Oryzias latipes: one gene and its partner. The protein of the gene in region 2 purifies or fractionates together with the protein of the main gene of each other region. This does not show direct contact. Links are inferred from orthologs where the notes say so. Each region holds a gene or a part of one and is shown on either strand. Other genes may lie near its edges.

Region 1 (4,362 bases), on a different chromosome or scaffold from region 2:
CCAATCATCTCCCCTCATATGAGGCCATCTGTTTCTGATCCTGGGCCAATCAGATCAGAGCCTGAAGCGGCAGCATTTGAGCGACTGCGAACACTTGCAGGGATGTCTGAGCTTCACTGCCTCTTTTACAGCAGACACACACACACACACACACACACACAAACACACACACACACTGGGGGCCCACTTTATCCTGCTGCACCGTCTCCTTGCCATCCCCTCCTACCTTCTTCCATGCATCCTCCTGTCCTGCTCCCTCATCGCTCTTGAGTTTCCTGTTTTCAAACAGATGTTGCCTTAGGTATTATTTATGTTACACAAACCAAATAAACAGGAGACATCTTTGCTTTTTTCTTTAGATGTGCTACCAGGTGGAGCTACATCTTGTGGGAGAATCTTGGATTTTCCTTTTTTGAGATTCTGTTTTTTTTTTTAAACCAATATTTTTTAGGTGTGTTTCATATTTGCCGTAGGCCTTGATGCAGTGATGCTGTTCAGATAAACCATGTGTTTGAATGCTGGTCTGTTTATAAATTGTGATCGCGACCCTTCTCAACGCCAAGCCTTGGACTGATTTGTTAGCTGAAGAAAAATCCATTCAGATGTGATTGTTTTTGCCTTCTCAATGATGTTTCCAGATAGATCGACTGCTGTTTTTTAGTTTTTACTTTTCTTCCCTTTTTCGATCAGTAAAATTGCACCAGGCAAGTTCAGTCAGCAGCTGAATTTCAGTGGATTTTCATTTTTAAAGTTCAAGTTTTGGATTATTATTATGTCTTCTTAGACTGTTATTGACAAGTCTGGTTTTTTTTTTACTGTTTGGGAAAGAAAAAAAACGATTTTACCATTGAGGTTAAATACAAGAGCTAAACCATGCAGATTAGACGTGTTAGGGGAGTGTACAGTTTTTAAAAATTAGGCAAACCAACAAACACATGTAGCAATATCAACAACAGGTCTTGTTTTTGCCCAATTTTGTTACTTTTATGCAACTTTAATAAAAAATATGTAAAACTGACGATTTGTGGATCATTTTCTTTTAATGTCAATATTTTTGCTCTTCCGTTTATTATTACACGTATCAAAAAAAATTTTGCTGTATATGCATGAGGTTGAGCAAAATTATTTTATGCTCAATTTCATTTTACATTTTGCGTTTCATGTGACGTAAACATAATCAGAAATTGTATTTTTTTCTTGTAGTGTTGTGTTTAAACAACAATTTTTCATTCTACTTAATTATATTATATTTAAATTATATGTTGGAGATGTATATCTAAATTACAATTGGTTCATAGAAGCTGTGTCTTCATTCTGATTGGACAGGGTGCTTGCGGGATGGTTCTTCCTATTGGATAGTCAGGAGCAGCCCTCGACGCTGATTGGTTGATTTTACAGTTCACAGAGTCCGGCAAAGTGTCTAACTGAAGAGGAGCCGATCGAAGAGGAAGTACTTTCCAAAATGGAAATATATCATTAAACCGAACGTTTCTTCTGCATAGCTCGGCTAAGGGACACGGTAAGATGGCTTTCACGTCTGACTTAACAGTAATAAAGATGATTTATGTTTGTTAGTAGCGGATAGCATCCCCCTGTCCGCTCGGACTCAGGGAGTGCGTTCTTCGAGTTAATCCGTGTAGTTCGGTTGGCAGGTCGGTCTGCAAGATGCTCCTATGATTCTCTGGAGTGCTAATTTCCATCTTTAATTAATAAAAACGTTTCAAGAAGATTTCCATGAGAAAGGCGGTTCCTTCGTGTGTAAATGTGATGCGTGCGCAGTGACTGCCGTCTCCGTTTTTGATTCAATTGTTAGCTTGTGTTGCACTTGACTTCACGGAGGTGTGTTTGAGCTCAATGTGGTGAAAGTGCGGCCGAAATGCGAAATAAACATTACAGGGTTTTTAAGTGAGTGCAGCCTTCAAAACGAGCGTCTCTTTTCCTGACTTTAGTGTAGGCTTTAAATCCCGCCGTTGCTTTCATTTTGTTTACCAGTTTACTCTACCTCCATACGGAAGCCAGTTTTGGTCAAGTTAAGCACTGTGAAAGCGGACTTCCGGTTTGAATAAAAACCTAAATGGCAATTTTCAACATTATTGAACCTTTTTAGGCCTTTAGACGTTTAGAAAAAAATTATTTTCAGTTTTTACCACACGCTTATTACACATTTTGCCATGTTATGCAATGTAAAATAATTATTGTTTATTTAGCATTTGTTTTTAGCTAATCGATTTCCGGTTTTGACCCTTGTTATTGTAGCTTTATTAAAGCTAAGTCATCGTCAAGGTTTGACTTAACCACATTACATACTGAATAAATGTAGTTGTAATTTAATGAATTCACCTGTAGAACGTGTATAATAATGTAACGTGAATCTGTTAGACCAAAAACTGTTTGGACATCTTTAAGAATCTTTAAAACTCCTAATGTTATCAAATAAACGAGGTCATCCCATCAGTAAAAACACAAATGCCGCATATCTTACAAACATCATCACAAGAATACTTTAAAAAATATATGGCTTTGATTTAAAAGCATTTGTTTTGCCAGATGTTATAAATGCATTTCTGACATACAGTGTAGGAAGTGTTTGATCTCTTGCTGATTTTGTTGGTTTGCATTCAAAAGAAATTGTCATCTGAACACTATGTTCATTTGAACAGTGAAAGATAGAAAAGCGAGAAATCGATTTTAAAGTATTTGTGAATTTATTTGCGTTTCATTGAGGGAAACTATTATTTTAACTGTCTTGCTGGGAAGACGTAGTACTTTATTGGAAAAGCCTTATTAGCAGCACAGAAGTCAGACATAGTTGATTATCAGGTTTCTGCACATATCAGGAAGAATCTTGGTCCACTCTTCTTTGCAAATGACTTCTAAATCATCAAGCCTTAATGGCTGTCGCTTAGCAACCCTAAGCTTCAGCATTCCCCATAGATTTTCTATAGGACTGAGGTCCAGGGCCACTCCATGGCTTTGATCTGCTTCCTCTGCAGCCATTTCCATGATTGACTTGGCTGTATGATCAGATTTAACTTCCTCCTCCACGCTCGACAGTGGGGATGGTGCTCTTGGGGTCAACAGATCTAGAATCTTCTCCAAATAATCCAGTGAAAGCTCTTTAGTCTCTCATGTTGGAGAGTTTGGAGTCTGAATGATTCTGTGGACAGGTGTCTTTTCTACAGGGGATTGGTTCAAACAGGTGTCTTCAATTCAGGTGACAGGATTAGGAGAGTCTGTGTGAACCAGAACTCTTAATTCTTACTAAAGGATCAAATACTAATTTCCCTCAGTGAAATGCAAATAAATGTATATCAATTCTTTTAAATGGATTCATTGGTTTTCTTTGTGATTTTCTAAATCGCATGAACCATTAAGATGACAGACTAAAACCTTTTTCAGTAACACTCAGGTAGGTCTGTGGACCATCAGGGACATGTGGATTTTGTGACTGAAAGCTTTTGTCGTTGAGCTTGTCGTTGTTGTTTCCAGCTCGCCATGCCGGCCCAACCCCCTGTGAGGGAGCCAGAGGAGAAGATGGGGGCAGAAGGAGAGTCCCAACTCCCTACGGCCAACGGCGACACGGAGGAGCCAAAGCGGAATGAAACGAGAGCAGGAGGGGGAGGAGACGAGCCCATGGAGGAAAGCATGGAGGAGAGGGACAGCGACCTGGATGAGACTGAAGAAGAGGAGGAGGAGGAGGAGGAGGAAGAGGAGAGTTCAGGTAAAAACAAAAAAGGTTTTTTATAGAAGTGATTCAAAAATGCAGAGAGAATAAATTTCCTTTATGTGTCCTTTTGTGAAGAGATGGACGATGAAGACTGTGAGCGGAGGAGAGGAGAGTGTCTCGATGAAATGATGGATCTGGAGAAACAGTTTCAGGAGCTGAAGGAGAAGTAACTCCAAACTTGGCACTGGGGGGGGGGTATTATGGGATGTGGTCTGCTATGTGAACATCACTGGTCAGGAAAACCTCGACTAAAGGGCCTCTGTGCTTGCAGGCTGTTCCGGGAGCGGCTGAACCAGGTGAAGGTGAAGCTGGATGAGGTGCTGACAGGAAAGGCTGGAGAGTACCGGGAGCCGCTGACGGCTCTGCAGAACAGCATGCAGATACGGACGCAAGTCGCCGGTAAAAGAAAAAAACCCTCCTCCCTTCTGCAGCTACGTTCACCCCGCCTCAGTAACGCACATTCAGGCGTAAATGCACGTCAATGTGCATTTTGGACTTCCATGTTGAAAACTCTCATGTTCACGAGTTGTAACGCAAGTTTCTATGAACATTTTTTGGCTCTAAGTACAAAACGCGGGGCCATTGAACGTGTTTTGCAAGTTAAACCAGTCAAACTTTGACTAATCAGAGACTCT
Region 2 (4,258 bases):
ATGGGTTAAATTTGGTTTTATGGTCTTGACTTGGACTGACGTCTTTTGTGGTTCTGATCCAGTGCTGTTCCTAAAATCTCATTCATCTGGAATTTGTCTTTTGTTATGAAAATCTCCATCAAACTGTCAACGTTTGTGCAAAAACAAACCTCACTTGAAGACTTTCAGTAGCAATAACCGTTTGTGTTAATGAGGTAAAATGTCACACTTTGTGTGTCCAAGTGGCTGTATGTACTTTACTGTGACTAATCGACAGGAAGTGATCAGCTGGTGTGATTGCATAAGCTGTGGTTTGATCCCGTTTCCTGGGCCGTCGTCATCCTGCGGATGCACAATCACACACACACATCCAGCTCACGCGCACACCTGCCCCCTCAGGTCTTACCTTGACCTTCACCATGCGCTTCACGGTCTTGATTTTGGCTTCACAGAACGCTCCTCTGTACTTGGCGCTGACATCTGTGCCGACTGTCAGGTAGGCAGGCTCGTCCGCTGCCTGAAACACAACACAGGCCTGCTCTCAAACAGAGTCCATAGCAAAAGATGGAACTTCATTTTAACAGGAGGAGAAAAAAAATCCAGCTTCGATGAATTTATATTTCATTTAAGTTCAGTAAACTGGCAGGCGAGGGTGGACTGCAGCCCGTTCAGCTCTGCATGTGCACGGCACCATCTGTGCCGTGATGGAGGACATCTTCAGACATCCGACTGCTGCTGCGGTCAGAAGGGAAGCAACCCGGAGCTCCTGAGACTCATTTTTACCATCAGGACTTTAGGACACCAACAGGAAACTCTCATTGCTGTTGAGACACAGCCGGTTAATAAGTATTGTGGTCTGTCTGAACTGCAGCGCTCCATTTCTCCGTTCTTACGCCACTTTGAGAGCGTCTGAATCCGACAACGTGTCCAAAGCATTTCTGCCGTCGGTTGGCCGATGTTTGGGTTCTCTCACTGACCCAAGGTCCAGATCGGCGGCCTCATGATCGAGCCGAAGAAGCAGTCGTCTCCCTGACTCAGAGAGCAAAGTGTAGCTGGAGAACTTCTACAGGGAGACCCACACTTCTGCAGTGACAACACTTCCAGACCCGAGTACCGTCCAAACATTTACGTTTGTGCCTAGAACTGATGCGATATACATCCGAGCATCGGGCCGACGAACACCAGATTCTACAGATAATCTGAATAAATCCATTTGACAGATTCGGTTTTCCTCCTTCAACGGATAAATACGTTTTTCTAGAATCCTGTCACAAATCCTCTTTGATCAACGGTGTTTGTAAAAGTGCCTTTTTCTTAAAGATAAAACAACTGATTTCTGTTTCTATTTTTGGACTTTAGGAGCAGATCCAAAATGACAGACGACTTTCTGACTGACTGACCTTTAAGCGTCTGGAGAAACTGCTTTACGGGCTAATTAACACACGGTTCCGTTTCAGATACCGAAAATAACGCCAAAGTTCTGAACCTGGACTGGGATCGGAGCAGAACCGATGTGAACGGCCCGGTGTGAACAGCCATAACAAGCCGGTTCCACCATGATGGACGGGCTCAAAGAAGAGTGGACGCGGGCGCCGTCTTCTTCAGGAAAACACTCACCTTCATCTCTCCGTCCGGGTTTTACTGGGAGTCCAGCTCGAAGGGCTTACGATCTCTGGAAGACAAAAAGCAAAGCGGGAGGTGAGGCGCTGGGGCTGCTGGGAGCCGAACGGCGGCGGGGGCTGGGTCGAACCGGAGCCGCGTAAAAGCTAACAACTAGCCACGCACTAGCTGAAGCGTTCTCCTGCCCCGCTGCTGCTCCTCCCCTCCCCTCCCTCCTGGATCTGGGCAAAATATGTGACACAAACTTAGCCAACAACAGCGTCCGCCAAATGTAAGCTCCGAATCCCCGCCGGTTCCAGACCGACGGTACTAGAGGATAGAAAAAAAAAGCCCCGCGGAGGGCAGTCCCTTCACTTCCCGCTCCGCTCCCACAGCCGCCGAGTCACGTCGCCATGATCACGGCTCGCCATGTCAGTCGAGTTAGCTCGGCTAACTTTACCACGTCCCATGCTAGGGGGAGAGAAAAAAAAGCCGCCTTTTGGACGACACGAGGGCGGACGGGCTTCTGCGACACGACAGAATCCCGACACGGAAACAGAAAAGTGCGAACCGCGCGCGAGCTTCGTCTCTCTCGACTCGTTCGCGGCGACATCGAGCTATTTTAGCTAACAAGCGTCTCAACTAGCTAGTTAGTGATCACACGGTGATTTAAACTGTCTGCCACTAGCAGACAAGCCTCCGCCAACTGCTACGCATCGCTTTTGTTCCGAATATGAGAGGCGGTTCGGTCCGAAAAGCCGCGATTCGGTGTCATCGGACGGAGCGGGAGCTGCGCGAACTTATTTATTTAATAAGCGGCTCTTCTGCCTTCCACAAAGGCGCAGAAGCTCCACATTTCTTCACTGCCATTCAGTTCCCAGGCAGCCTCCGTACAGCGGCCAGCCCCACTCTCAACTGACACCCGCGCGCCCCTCTTCTTCCCGCTCTCCGACACACTTTACGCAGTAAAAAAAACGGTGTTGATCGGTTAATAGGAATATTCGTTCTTACATTCACTGCCGCGAATTCTTCCCCTCTCGCTCGAGCTGCAAAACGATACACGAACAACAAGCTGTTGAGCCCCGAGCTGGCTTTCTGGACACGTGATTGGCTGCGCTGACAGCGGGAGTGACAACGGAGACATTTCATTGGTGGGTGCGTTCTCTCGTTTCCATTGGCTGTTTCCATGCTCTGCTGCTATTGGTCCATACGAACACGGCGCCACGAGAGAAAATACTGCAACGCTTTGCCGGCTGTCCAGTCACAGCAAAAGTGACACGTGAAGGGAGGGGGTGAGGAAGAAACGGGAGAGATTCCTATTGGCTGTCCGCTGTTTGTTCCCGCAGCGCTACGTTCCTATTGGCTGAAGCGGCTTCCTTCTTTGTACCGACAGGACAGGAAGCCCAGCCCCCCCCCCCCCCCCCGCTACGTGCTAGAAACCTTCGAACCAAACACAAAACCTTCGACACGAACACGTTTTTTCCCCCCCGTGCTCGTGCTCTGAACTTGAAGGACAATCCCGTCGGTGTCGCAGACGCGCGTGCGCCTAGAAGCCAGGAGTCGATACCGTGTTTACCGTGATTCACACGCTGCAAAACATTCGCTTCACGCAAAGACTCGCTTTGCCGCCATCAACCACCTATTTTACCGAGTCACATGATCAACTCGATGATGGCTGGACGCGTTTTTATTAAAAGGTCGCCTGATATTTCAGTTTCGTTGTTTTTTCCCCTGTCGTGGTCCGTCAAAACATTTAACCGCGAGGACGTTGAAGAGTATGGCAAGCCAAAGAGACAAAAAGTCGTCAGGAATTCTTCCAGTATCGCTGTCTGTAAACTCCACAATTTTTGTCAATTAACTCTATTTTTTGTTTTAAACAATTGACACAGCAGACTATCTGACCTCTATAGAATATTCAGATGTTTCCTTGTATTGATTTTAGACCGTCATTTATACTTACCTTCCAGCAAAACAGGATAAAAACTTCAATCTACTGACAGACATTAAACAAAACAGCAAGTTGTATTCAAAGATGCTATGAGTCGTACCTAACATTTTTTAAGAAAACTACCATTGAGTGTAGCTGAGAACTGGACTGAGCAACGGCACCCATAAAAAAATAGTTTAGTACCAAATGAAGTCGATTCAGTCGCCATTTCTTTGCGGTATGGACGCCGTCATGTTGGAGCCAGGCATCAGTAGCCGCGGTTTTGTGTGCAAAATATCTTTGATTGGATCAAAGATGGGATTAGAATTGAACTGTGTACATAACAAACGTTTAAGGTTAGGGTTACGCCACCTTTTCGGTCAGAATAATTCATTTTTACACGCGCAGAACTCTCTAAAATACCGGAAACGTTTGAATGCCCCACGATCAGATCAACAATTGTCATTTTAAGTTTTACGGTTTTTTTGCTCTCCATTGCCCGATGTTACACACGTGACGGCGAGCGTCGCTGACAGACGTGACATTGTTTTGCTGTCAAATCAGTTTGGCGCTAGAAGCCACAGAACGTCACACGGCGTGGGCTGGCTCGCCGTCTCTGTGTGCGTAGGACTTATTCATGCATAGAGAAGCAACCTTTTCAGAAGAGGGCAGTGGAGAGGGTGGCAGATCCTCATGAGGGGGGTGCGGTTTGGCACTATGATTTTTATTTATTTGTTCTGGAGTTGTAAAACT

The links.
Region 1: the proteins of arid4a (region 2) and brms1 purify together in Homo sapiens (affinity purification with western blotting; 3 studies listed by BioGRID and IntAct, with this or other methods). This does not show direct contact. The link is inferred for Oryzias latipes from reciprocal best matches to the Homo sapiens genes ARID4A and BRMS1.

The regions. Positions count from the first base shown.
Region 1 is NC_019876.2:12,603,219-12,607,580, reverse strand, and holds the start of brms1 (breast cancer metastasis-suppressor 1), read left to right. Parts: upstream 1-1,387; 5' UTR 1,388-1,519; intron 1,520-3,298; exon of another isoform or gene 3,299-3,409; intron 3,410-3,489; 5' UTR 3,490-3,495; coding exon 3,496-3,721; intron 3,722-3,802; coding exon 3,803-3,893; intron 3,894-3,998; coding exon 3,999-4,126; intron 4,127-4,362. UniProt on the Homo sapiens protein: Transcriptional repressor. Down-regulates transcription activation by NF-kappa-B by promoting the deacetylation of RELA at 'Lys-310'. Promotes HDAC1 binding to promoter regions.
Region 2 is NC_019880.2:2,469,842-2,474,099, reverse strand, and holds the start of arid4a (AT-rich interactive domain-containing protein 4A), read right to left. Parts: upstream 2,939-4,258; 5' UTR 2,590-2,938; intron 2,559-2,589; exon of another isoform or gene 1,765-2,558; intron 1,756-1,764; exon of another isoform or gene 1,652-1,755; 5' UTR 1,603-1,651; coding exon 1,597-1,602; intron 497-1,596; coding exon 386-496; intron 1-385.